4 linked regions of the Saccharomyces cerevisiae S288C genome follow. Each later gene encodes a partner of the first gene's protein in a complex. Each region holds a gene or a part of one and is shown in the gene's direction. Other genes may lie near its edges.

Region 1 (3,347 bases):
AGTGGATACTCCATCGCCATCCAATTCCACATCAGCGTGTGCGACATTCCCACATTCCTTGAATATGTCTTTCAAAGCCTGCCAATTAACGGAAGCAGGTAAATTTTTTACAATAACTTCATGTGTTTTTCGGTTATGTCTAAGCTCTCCTCTATCGAGTGCTTTCCTTTCCTTGATATTGTTTGACGGTGGTGGATTATCTTGCCTGACGAAGATTTTACGATCCATGAAGAAGGCCCCATCGTACTGGCGGATGGCCCTGTCAACATCATCCGAATTAGTGAACTCTACTGTACCCATACCTCTGTGGTGCCCTCTTGATGTAATTATATCCGCGCGGACTACTTTTCCTATCTGTGAAAAAAACTCAGTGAGATCTTCGGGGGTGCTGTCATATGTTAAATTACCCACGAATATACTATTGGAATAGTTTCTATTGACCTTTTCTTCGTATGTACTATCCAATTCACGTGCCAACAAAGGACCGTAATCACCTCTTGCTCCACTACTACCAAAACCGCCTCTCCTACTGTCATCACGTGTATTGTGTCTACTCCTAAAGCTTCTAGGATAGTCATCACGTCTGTTCCCATAACGACCAGTCACATCTCTTCCTCTGCGCCTATCATCGTAACGGTCTCTAGATCTAGGATTATCTCTGTTATTGAACCTTTCTCTTTCTCTGTAATCAGACCTTTCTCTACCTCCTCTATATTCTCCTCTATCTCTGCTTCCTCTGTACGTATCTGCGAACTTACGCCTACCGTTATAATTACCTGACCTCCGGGACAAATGGTTGTCTCTTTCATAACCATGATCATCACTCATCCGACGACGAACAGGTGATCTCGACCTCGATCTACTTCGATTATTCTACAACAATGAATAACATTAGTAAAAGTAACTAAATTTCATAATGAGAGAGACCAATAAGTCATTGCGTTTCAAAGTTGGAATAAACTGTACATTATAGCATGGCAGGTAGAAAATCAGGGTTTTATTTATAATTGATATTCTCACTTTCATAGCCAGTAGATAAACATTAGCAATGCATTCAAAAAACCCCCTTTAACCAGTGGAATCACATTGAAGCAAGCGTTTTGAAGGCAGCATTAAATGGTGACTCACCATTCGTTGATGTCTATTTAATTCCAATGACCTCATAAAGTCTCATTTTACAAACTTTTCTTCACCTCCCTTATCAATGAAACATACGTTTTCTGAACCTCGTTCTTGATCAGACATATCCTGTTAACTTAATATTTGGCGTTCTATCTGCTCATTCAAACTGTTTTCGAACTCATGAGCAAACATAATTATGAAATTTTTCAGCCAGTACTCTACTTTTTCATTTCCCTCGCTAAACAAAGAGAGTCATTTGAAACGACCCAAGGAAAGACGTAAATTGAGGTATATGTAGTGACCAGAAGAGGATAAGGATGGCTAGAGTTTGGTGTTCAAGTTCAATTGTTTGGTTGAATAGGTACTAAAAAGATTTTCACACAACGGCTTCTCTGTAATGTTATACACACTGTTTTTATACCAATTATGCAAATTTGGCTGTTATGACTGGGTGTTTCGATATCTGACGTTCCGCTATTGAATTTTAAAGCTCTTTCTTTGGAGACTCATTCAAGATAGTTCACTGAAGAATGAAGTTGGCTCATTGTAAAAATAAAACTCGCCAGTTTGGGTGGTCATAATATTTCAAGCTTAACCTAAGGTGAGAATATGTGGAATCCTATTTTACTAGATACTTCTAGTTTTTCATTCCAAAAACATGTGTCTGGTGTGTTCCTTCAAGTGCGTAATGCCACCAAAAGGGCTGCGGGCTCGAGAACAAGTATGAAGGATTCTGCAGGAAGAAGGTTAGGACCAAAAAAATATGAAGGCCAGGATGTTTCCACAGGTGAAATTATTATGAGGCAAAGAGGAACAAAGTTTTATCCTGGAGAAAACGTTGGTATAGGGAAAGATCATTCCATATTCGCCTTAGAACCTGGTGTTGTTCGTTACTATCTTGATCCTTTTCATCCTAAAAGAAAATTCATTGGTGTTGCCTTGAGGCGTGATTTGAAACTGCCATCTCCTCATTTTGAGCCTACCGTAAGGAGGTTTGGCCGTTTTGAGTTAACAAATAAAAGGGCAGCATATAAGGAAGAAAATTCTATTTCTAGAAAAGACTATCTCGCAAAACCTAATATTTTGAAGCAGTTAGAGGTCAGGGAATCTAAAAGAAAGGAGTTACAAGACAAGTTGAGTAAGGTTCTTCGGGATGAACTTAAGTTAGATATAAAAGACATCGAATTGGCAACGTCATACTTAATTCGTGTAAGGGCTTCCCTGAAGAATGGATACCCCATAGAAGATGCAAGGTTCAATAGTAGATATTATTTAAAAGAAGAAGAGCGTTTGAAGGCAAGGAGAGAAAGCTGGACGAATGAGAAATTGTCGGAGAGTCTATCCAAGATTGATGAGTGTAGTGATCTTTTGAACTCATCTACATCTTTCAATAACAAGCTAGAGCTACACCAGTATATTTCGGAACAAGAAAAACAAGCTTTGAAGGCAAAACTATTAGAGGACCTAGAAAAATCCCAACACTTAGAAACCAAAAAAGACAAGAATTATATTAAGGCGCTTTTCAAGGACGCTTGTAATTTTTTGACTTTATCTGAAGAAGTACATTTGCGTAGGAAATACTTAAAGTCGGTCTTCCCCGAAACAGATAGTACGGTTGAAACCAAAAGCGGGAAGAAGTCAATTGTGTCTAGACGTTTTGATTACACCAAAAATAAAGTTGAAGTCATTGCTAGAAGTAGGCGGGCTTTTTTGAGCAAGCTTTGATTTTCTTTCCTTACGCACAGTATGTACACATATAAAATGTTTAAGAATGCCTGTAAATATTACTATTTTGTCGCGCAAGTAGCTAAACCTTTCGTCTACACGAAACTTAAAATTTAGTGCTACATGCAAGGGAATATGTTTATACTGTACATTCTCGTCTTCCTTTCATTGATGATATGCATCGCGATTGCTTTCATTTTGTGAACAATCAATTAACTAAAATGCACAGGATAGTAAAATCTATATTTACAAAAAGGCGGATAAGCAAACACTGAAAATCATAATGTTTTTTGTCACTTCGGTCCTTCAAGCTTGGTAGTTGATAAATTGTAAACTATACATCGTTTAATGCGACACATACAGCTCCCTTGTGGTGTCCACCGTACTGTCTGACAATTTCTCTAGTTGATAAATCCCATAATCTCACGTAATGATCGGACGATGCCGTTACTAGATACGCACTGTCAGCACTAAATGCGCAATCCCAAACCCACCTTTGG
Region 2 (3,292 bases), on another chromosome or scaffold:
CAGACATATGATGTTCTTTTCTACATTATGGAAAATCTCATCCGTATTCTGAATTTCTTGGCTATTATCGTCGGCAAAATCTATTATAGCAGTCAACTGTGCCATATTCTCGATAATGGTTTCCCTCCAGTTCTCAAATAGGATTTTGTTATCCCCATTGAAACTTGACAAGGCAGATCTCCTTTGAGATTCTGTTTCCGAATCAATAAGATCTTTGATACCTTCAAGTTGGGTAAGGTCAAACTTTCCATTTTGAAACGCCCTCCTGGAGAAGTCGCCAGGCAAGGCAAATCTTATATCTTTACCACTGCTTCTATCGTGTAACGAGCCGATAGCTTTCAGTATACTATTAACTACGGCTTTCCCGCCGTGAACGTGCAGCTCTAACACATCCTCACCAGTAAATGAATAAGGAGCTTGGAAATATAGCAACAACGATGTGTCTAATAATATTTTACTTTCCTTTTGATCATGAGGTTTCACACTACAAGAGGACGGCGAATAAATGTTCCTCAAAATAGCCTTCCTGATCGGCGGAACTGTACTTGAATCAACTAGTCGATTGTAAATGTACTTAGCATGGGTACCAGATATTCTTATGATTGCTATCGCAGAGGTTTGATTTGCTGGTGTAGATAATGCATATATGGTTGGTTGCTGGAAGGTATAAGGCTTTGCAAGTCCGGAGTACCTCTTTAACGACCTTCTTACGAGAAAGGATCTCGAAATAAGCCGTGATTGTAAGAAAGATGCACTATTCATAAATAGAATACTTATTAACCATATATAACATTCTCTAAGTAGATAGCAGTCGTATGGAATATTGCTGTATCTTCATGTAACCTCGTAAAAGACGTTATATATGGGTTAGTTAGCCAAAAAAATAAAAAATGGACGAGTCCGGAATCGAACCGGAGACCTCTCCCATGCTAAGGGAGCGCGCTACCGACTACGCCACACGCCCGATTTGTATTGAAGACTTTGAAGAAGTATAGAAAACATAAATGTAGGATACATTTTTAAACTTTTATTAATGAAACCAATTTGAAGACATGTGGCAACCCGTGTTACTCATATATATATATATATATATATACAACTATCAGAAGATTATCAATCTAATAGATCTTTAACGCCGCCTCAGTACTTTCTGAACTGCAAGTAGAATATTTTTTTCTGGAATCGGCACATTCACATTCAGACGTATACGATGTCAGCACTTAGATTGCTACTATAGCAACTCATTTATTATTAATCCCCATTCGTTCCGATATGGATGGCATATTATTACCTTTAAGAAAGGTGGAGTTCCAAAGATTCATCAATTTTACTGTTTATAGAAAACGTTACGGAAAGATGAAAAGTAAACACCAAGGTCTCTTATGCCTTGACATAAAGAATACGGAATAGAATGATTGTAGACGCAACAAGATGAATAATTAATGGCAAATTATTATCCTATTAGATATAAATTACAGTCGCTTTAATGCGTGATTATAGAAAAGGTCCTTACAATATGCAGCCGGGTAAAGAGTGAAGTTTCCCGCCTCTGAAAAAGAGCAATACTAAAATAATCTGAAAAGAATTGGTGAAAAGAAAGCTGTAGTTATATATACAGAATGGGCATAGTTTTGAAAAGAGCAATAGCAGCAGGTATGAAACCTTTTCCAAACAGTACGTGGCATTGGAGCCGAACCATAAGACCTTTCTCACAGCATTTGTCTAGCACATGCTTTCTGCAGCAATCCTCGAGATTTACTTCAAAACGATACCTACACCTTTCAACATTAACACAACAAGAAAAGCGCTTCCTACCCGAATCTGAACTTGCTAAATATAAGGAATACTACCAGGGTTTGAAGAGCACTGTAAATGAAATACCTGAATCAGTGGCCTCTAAGTCACCTTCGTTAAGAACGCTTCATAAGAGATTACAATTACCTAATGAGTTGACCTATTCAACACTTTCCAGATGCTTAACGTGTCCCTCTGCAAAACTACCCGACAAGATAAATAATCCTACAAAAGGTGCAGCTTTCGTTAATACTGTACCTACTAATAAATACTTGGACAACCACGGTTTAAACATCATGGGAAAGAACTTGCTCTCTTACCACGTTACAAAATCCATTATACAGAAATATCCGAGACTACCCACTGTGGTTTTGAATGCTGCGGTTAACGCATATATATCAGAGGCGGTACTGGCGCACATTGCTAAATACTGGGGTATTGAAGTAGAAACTACGTCTGTTTTATCACGCTATTTGAAAATGGAACCATTCGAATTCACTTTGGGAAGACTCAAATTCTTTAATAATTCATTGAACTCTAAGGACGGTATTGAGCTAATCACCGGAAAGAACTTTTCAGAAACAAGCGCTCTTGCAATGAGCGTGAGGAGTATAATAGCTGCCATCTGGGCAGTAACGGAGCAAAAAGATTCTCAAGCTGTTTACAGATTTATTGATGATCATATAATGAGCAGGAAATTGGATATCACGAAAATGTTCCAGTTTGAACAACCTACAAGAGAATTGGCTATGCTATGTCGTAGAGAGGGGCTGGAGAAACCTGTATCGAAACTGGTCGCTGAGTCTGGTAGACTATCGAAATCACCTGTCTTTATTGTGCATGTATTTTCAGGCGAAGAGACATTAGGTGAAGGTTATGGTTCCTCATTAAAGGAGGCAAAAGCAAGAGCCGCTACTGATGCTTTGATGAAATGGTATTGCTACGAGCCTCTTGCTCAACAGGAACCAGTTATTGATCCTGGCACTGTTGTTGTTTAGTTCTGTGTTTGCCATTTTGTAGATAGAGAACTCCTTAACCAGAATACATTCTTGTACATATATATATACACGTTGGTACGATATGCGTTTACTTTATGTGTACTAAAATATATAAAAGTGAACAGAAGCATGTTCCTTGTTTACTACTATATCTTACCAGGAAACAGACAAAAAAAAAAAAGACTTGCTATATTTAAAGAGAACGCACATTTGTGAGGGGATAATAACACAAAGCAAAGTAATATAGGGTAAATGGACCTCCTAAAATTCAGTTCTCTAGCTATATCAGAAATTAACTTCCTGCACGAGTCATCGTTTGACTCGATAGACCACTCTTGGTTTTTATTGATAGGTTGCAAATTGGATCAAGATGATGAAATTTACATCCCAATAAATGGTAATGAAGCAGAGTCTCAATGGTATATTGAAAAAGTTATACGAATCCCGATGCAGGAAAATGATAAAATAAATCAAGAACGCCTAGAAAGGAGAATTAACCT
Region 3 (2,890 bases), on another chromosome or scaffold:
TATATATGTACATATACATATATAGATTTATATGACGTTTCCGACGCATACTGGTGAACCACTTTCTTTTTAGTGAATAGCCTCATTATGCAGTTTCCGGTATTTTTTTTCCGTTGCTTCAGCTACGGGATTTCTTCGATGCCATTGAAAAATAAAGTTGTGTTCAATGAGAATATGGAAAGAAAAGACACTTTTTACCAGCTGATCTTAAAAGTTTTGTCTGCTTTATTACTTCTATCGGTAAGAAACTCGAGTGGACATACGAGACACTTTGTGCAGTCGTCGGAGAAAATTTATAGGCGATCACTCTTTAAGCAATAAGAAAGTTTCACGTATATTATTGAATAATACATTAATCATATTGTATATCGGTGGTTGTACAAGGAAAGAGCGAGCCTGCACAAAATGTATGTTGATCCGATGAACAACAATGAAATCAGGAAATTAAGCATTACTGCCAAGACAGAAACAACTCCAGATAACGTTGGACAAGACATTCCTGTAAACGCACATTCGGTGCATGAGGAATGTTCTTCCAACACACCCGTGGAGATAAATGGAAGAAACAGCGGAAAGTTGAAAGAAGAAGCGTCTGCAGGTATTTGTTTGGTTAAAAAACCAATGCTACAATATAGAGATACCTCAGGAAAGTATTCCCTAAGTGACTTTCAGATTTTAAGAACTTTGGGAACTGGCTCATTTGGGAGAGTTCACCTAATTCGTTCCAATCACAATGGGAGGTTTTACGCTTTGAAGACATTGAAAAAGCACACTATAGTGAAGCTGAAGCAGGTTGAACACACCAATGACGAACGCCGAATGCTTTCAATTGTTTCACATCCATTCATCATTCGAATGTGGGGAACGTTCCAAGATTCTCAGCAAGTTTTCATGGTAATGGACTACATTGAAGGTGGTGAATTATTTTCTTTACTACGTAAATCTCAAAGATTTCCCAACCCAGTAGCCAAATTTTATGCCGCAGAGGTATGCTTAGCGTTGGAATATTTGCACAGTAAGGATATAATATATAGAGACTTGAAACCAGAAAATATCCTTCTAGATAAAAACGGCCATATCAAGATAACCGACTTTGGCTTCGCAAAATACGTTCCCGATGTCACATACACATTATGTGGCACACCAGATTACATAGCGCCGGAAGTGGTCAGTACAAAACCGTATAATAAATCAGTGGATTGGTGGAGTTTTGGTGTGCTAATCTATGAAATGCTTGCCGGATACACTCCATTTTACAATTCGAACACCATGAAAACTTACGAAAATATACTGAACGCCGAATTGAAGTTCCCACCATTTTTCCATCCAGACGCGCAGGACTTATTGAAGAAGCTAATTACCAGAGACTTAAGTGAAAGGTTGGGTAACTTACAAAATGGAAGTGAAGATGTCAAGAACCATCCGTGGTTTAACGAAGTGATATGGGAGAAATTGTTAGCAAGATACATAGAAACGCCGTACGAACCACCAATCCAACAGGGCCAAGGTGACACTTCTCAATTTGACAGATACCCTGAAGAGGAATTCAACTATGGAATTCAAGGGGAGGATCCATATATGGATTTAATGAAAGAATTTTAAGGAGGTTCAGTGGGATAATTGTAATTGAAAAAAAAAAAAAATCAATAAAAGTAAAAACAAGAACAAGAAAAAGCACAAACAAACCTGGTTATAGATTCTTGGTGAGTCTAACAGGGCCATGATAAAAAAGTGACACATGCATATATGTACATGTATATATCTACGTACGTCTATTCAATAGAGGTGTATACAGATAAATAAAGGAGCATTCATATACGCCATATTGTGACTACATTTGCGTCCTCAGAAGACTGGGACGTTCAAAGTGATCTAGGACTTTTCACCCAGGGAAAACAGGATATCTGTAAGAATCGGCCATAAAACTCATTAATAGAAGAACAGTATAACATAAGTGAGCCTGCTACAATAAGAAGATGTCTAAGGTTGCACAACAGTTAAAATTTTTGAATAAAATTAGCGCCACTACCAGACTACCGCAGATTCTAGTCGATCCTAAAAAATACTCAGGTCTTAGATTGACTTTTCAAACGAAAAACCACAATGGACATATGGGTGCCAGAGTTTTTTGGCATAACTACCTACCCACTTTGCAGTTCTATAATCCAAGAATGAAGTTTGACGTGATAAGGATAAAGAACGAAGACAAGCAAAAAAGCGTTCCATGCAAACTGGAGATTTTATCTCATGAAGGCTCCGTTGTAGAGACTATTGATATGCGTAATAAAATGCATGAAGATATAATGAAAGACTTACTTGACAAAATAGAGCACGTTCCTCTTCCTGAAAATGAGATCATAAGAGTTGGACCGCAAGAAAGTATTATATAAGCTTTCTCTCGATAAGTTTGTTCATGTATATATCAAAAAACATTGCCCTTCATGGAAATATGTAAATTCAAAACTCACTTATGGGGCATATAAGTATATAATTTAGAGTACAATAAGTAGGATTGTGCTGAATATTGTCAGCCCTTGGGTCCCTTTTTTTGCCCTCCGCGTATTTCTTGTGGAAAATAAGGAAATTTCATTTTCACTTCAACTAGCTAGTTTAATTGCATGATGGACTCAAAAACATTGACAGCATCAATGGTAATGCAGGAGGAGAAGAAGCGGCAACAACCTGTGACAAGAAGAGTAAGGTCATTTTCTGAGTCCTTTAAAAACCTTTTCAGGCCGCCTCGTTCAAGAGATTCAAGTCCTATTAATGTCACCCGAATTCCTTATCGATCGTCTTCTACCTCACCCAAGAGAAGCTCTGAGCCACCAAGACGATCAACCGTATCCGCACAAATTTTAGATCCAAAAAATTCTCCAATACGCCAGCGTAG
Region 4 (2,632 bases), on another chromosome or scaffold:
AAGAAATCGTCAACCGGTTGAGTACGACCACCCAGGATATCAATGAAACAATCGAAGGCGTTAAAAATACGGTTAAATTGAAAAAATCGTCCGCTAGAAGGAAATTGGAAGAACTAAATAGAGTTCTGAAAAACAATCCATATTTCAATTCAAATGTGAACGTACAGAATTCGAGACTCAAAGATGCTGTACCGTTCACGCCGTTTAACGGTGATAGAGAAGCACACCCAAGGTTTACGTTGAAAGGTTCAGTATACAATGACCCATTCATCAAAGATCTTGAGCACAGGAAAGAATTTATTGCGTCTGGGTTCAACACTAATTATGCGTACGAAAGGGTGTTGACAGAGGCATTTATGGGCTTAGGATGTGTTATATCCGAGGAGCTTTAAAACATCAGGATAGTGTGCAACGTGGCATAAGCTATGTAATCAACTACTTTTTATTTTCTATGTACGCATATACATGCATTCACGATCTGTTTCAGTGTTCAGAAAAAAGGCACCTACTGCTACGGTTGGCCCATACCTTTATTCTTTGTTCTTGTTACAAACGAGTGTGTAATTACCCAAAAAGGAAATTTACATGTTAAATGAAACCCAGTAATCAGAAAAAACAGTTAAGAAACCTAAAATGGTAGAGATAAAGATACAGATTCAGTGGTTGCTGAAAATCAAGTAAAAAAATGAAATAGAGTCTTCATATATAAACCGCCAGAAATGAATTAATGAGAGGGATCTGTAACTGTTTCTCGGATAAAACCAAAATAAGTACAAAGCCATCGAATAGAAATGCAACCATCTACCGCTACCGCCGCTCCAAAAGAAAAGACCAGCAGTGAAAAGAAGGACAACTATATTATCAAAGGTGTCTTCTGGGACCCAGCATGTGTTATTGCTTAGTTTCTGCGTACAAAAACGTTGTTCTCCCTCCTTTATCTTCCTTTTCCGCTACACCAATATATCATGTTTGTTCGTAATATTTCTTTTTAGACCTAATAATAAATATCCTAAGTAACTATATTATATAAAATATTTTGATACCCTGTACCTGCTTTTGTTATCGTTGTACATCCATGCACACGCTCATATATATATATATATATATATATATGTATATGTACATATACCGCTTACCACCTACCGTGAAGTATATGTAAGGGTCTTCGCACCCGGATATCCCTTGTGGGATCTTGGATGCGGATGGTGAGTGTAAACAGGCCTCATAAAGCTGTCTCTGTGTGCGGAAGATGTCGTTTCATCGGCTTCGACCTCCTCCTTATCTTGCTTCATTGTTTCTTCGTAAGAGGGCGGATCTACGGGCAGCGGGGTCGCTGTCTCCTTGTATGCATGCTTATTTATATCACTCTTTCCGCTATCCATCATAATCTGTTTTTGTTTATGTGCTTTGAATACTCAACACATAAAATAATATCCAGTTAATTGTCGTCTGTCCATTGACGCTTTGCCTTTGTCCCTTTAGACTGTCTTTATTGTGAAATATGCACGGCTGAGAATTACGTATACAGTGACTATCGTATGGGGCGACAAAAGTTCCCAGCGAGAAACAAGATGAAGCAGACTGGGGCCTGCCTGTATGGAGGGAAGCATAAGTTAATATACCTCCAGATATTTGCAGATTAGGATACTGAACTGACGAAGACCTACGCTACACAACGAAGATAACACATGCTGGCACAAACATTCAAAAAACCACACAGAGCCGTTCTAGAACAGGTATCTGGGACCACGGTCTTCATCAGAAATAAGAGAACAAAGAGCAAGAGCTCACTGTCACCTTTGGCACAAAGGGTCGTCACGCAGTTGAGTGTGATGTCTGCAAGCAGAAAGCAGCCCAAGTTGCTGAAGCTGGCGCGTGAAGACCTGATTAAACATCAGACCATTGAGAAGTGTTGGTCAATTTATCAGCAGCAACAACGGGAGCGCAGAAATTTACAGTTGGAATTACAATATAAGAGCATTGAGAGATCTATGAACCTTCTACAAGAACTCAGCCCTCGTCTGTTTGAGGCTGCCAATGCTTCCGAGAAGGGCAAGCGATTCCCGATGGAAATGAAGGTGCCCACTGACTTCCCCCCAAATACGTTATGGCATTATAACTTCCGAAAATGATAGCGTGAGCGAACGCTTGACTGTCTCCTGCTGTAAATAACTGATGATCAATAGAATGCCACGTATATATGGACTTATATAATTATATGTACATAGACATATAAAGGGCATGTGGTAATTATGACATGAACTGTATCACTATTGACGTTTTTTTTACTGCTTTTTCCCATCCCTGCAAGCGAAAAAAAAAGCAAGCTGACTCTTGTATAAACTGCAAGGACTCATTGATTAAAAGTAGATTTACATTACAGACTAAAGGAAAAGGCAAACTATACCGGCTATACCACATTCGTTCAAAAATGCCCTCTACCACGCTACTGTTTCCGCAGAAACATATTAGGGCCATTCCAGGCAAGATATACGCGTTCTTCAGAGAGCTCGTCAGCGGAGTTATTATATCCAAGCCAGATCTAAGTCATCATTATTCTTGTGAAAATGCGACAAAGGAGGAAGGCAAAGATGCAGCAGATGAAGAAAAGACTACCACAAGTTTGTTTCCC

The links.
Region 2: MRP7 (region 1) and MRPL3 share a complex: the UniProt entries of both Saccharomyces cerevisiae proteins name them as parts of the mitochondrial large ribosomal subunit.
Region 3: MRP7 (region 1) and MRP49 share a complex: the UniProt entries of both Saccharomyces cerevisiae proteins name them as parts of the mitochondrial large ribosomal subunit.
Region 4: MRP7 (region 1) and MRPL28 share a complex: the UniProt entries of both Saccharomyces cerevisiae proteins name them as parts of the mitochondrial large ribosomal subunit.

The regions. Positions count from the first base shown.
Region 1 is NC_001146.8:620,813-624,159, reverse strand, and holds MRP7 (mitochondrial 54S ribosomal protein bL27m MRP7), read left to right. Parts: upstream 1-1,731; coding exon 1,732-2,847; downstream 2,848-3,347. Other genes in the region: HRB1 (mRNA-binding protein), read right to left, coding at 1-873, 1,216-1,245; TOR complex subunit LST8, read right to left, coding at 3,182-3,347. UniProt on the Saccharomyces cerevisiae protein: Component of the mitochondrial ribosome (mitoribosome), a dedicated translation machinery responsible for the synthesis of mitochondrial genome-encoded proteins, including at least some of the essential transmembrane subunits of the mitochondrial respiratory chain.
Region 2 is NC_001145.3:320,256-323,547, forward strand, and holds MRPL3 (mitochondrial 54S ribosomal protein mL44 MRPL3), read left to right. Parts: upstream 1-1,619; coding exon 1,620-2,792; downstream 2,793-3,292. Other genes in the region: MSS1 (Mss1p), read right to left, coding at 1-762; CSI1 (Csi1p), read left to right, coding at 3,045-3,292. UniProt on the Saccharomyces cerevisiae protein: Component of the mitochondrial ribosome (mitoribosome), a dedicated translation machinery responsible for the synthesis of mitochondrial genome-encoded proteins, including at least some of the essential transmembrane subunits of the mitochondrial respiratory chain.
Region 3 is NC_001143.9:133,221-136,110, reverse strand, and holds MRP49 (mitochondrial 54S ribosomal protein mL61 MRP49), read left to right. Parts: upstream 1-1,976; coding exon 1,977-2,390; downstream 2,391-2,890. Other genes in the region: cAMP-dependent protein kinase catalytic subunit TPK3, read left to right, coding at 406-1,602; putative serine/threonine protein kinase KKQ8, read left to right, coding at 2,649-2,890. UniProt on the Saccharomyces cerevisiae protein: Component of the mitochondrial ribosome (mitoribosome), a dedicated translation machinery responsible for the synthesis of mitochondrial genome-encoded proteins, including at least some of the essential transmembrane subunits of the mitochondrial respiratory chain.
Region 4 is NC_001136.10:1,384,385-1,387,016, forward strand, and holds MRPL28 (mitochondrial 54S ribosomal protein mL40 MRPL28), read left to right. Parts: upstream 1-1,688; coding exon 1,689-2,132; downstream 2,133-2,632. Other genes in the region: TFIIH/NER complex subunit TFB3, read left to right, coding at 1-392; MFA1 (mating pheromone a), read left to right, coding at 792-902; CMI8 (Cmi8p), read right to left, coding at 1,140-1,382; STP1 (Stp1p), read left to right, coding at 2,432-2,632. UniProt on the Saccharomyces cerevisiae protein: Component of the mitochondrial ribosome (mitoribosome), a dedicated translation machinery responsible for the synthesis of mitochondrial genome-encoded proteins, including at least some of the essential transmembrane subunits of the mitochondrial respiratory chain.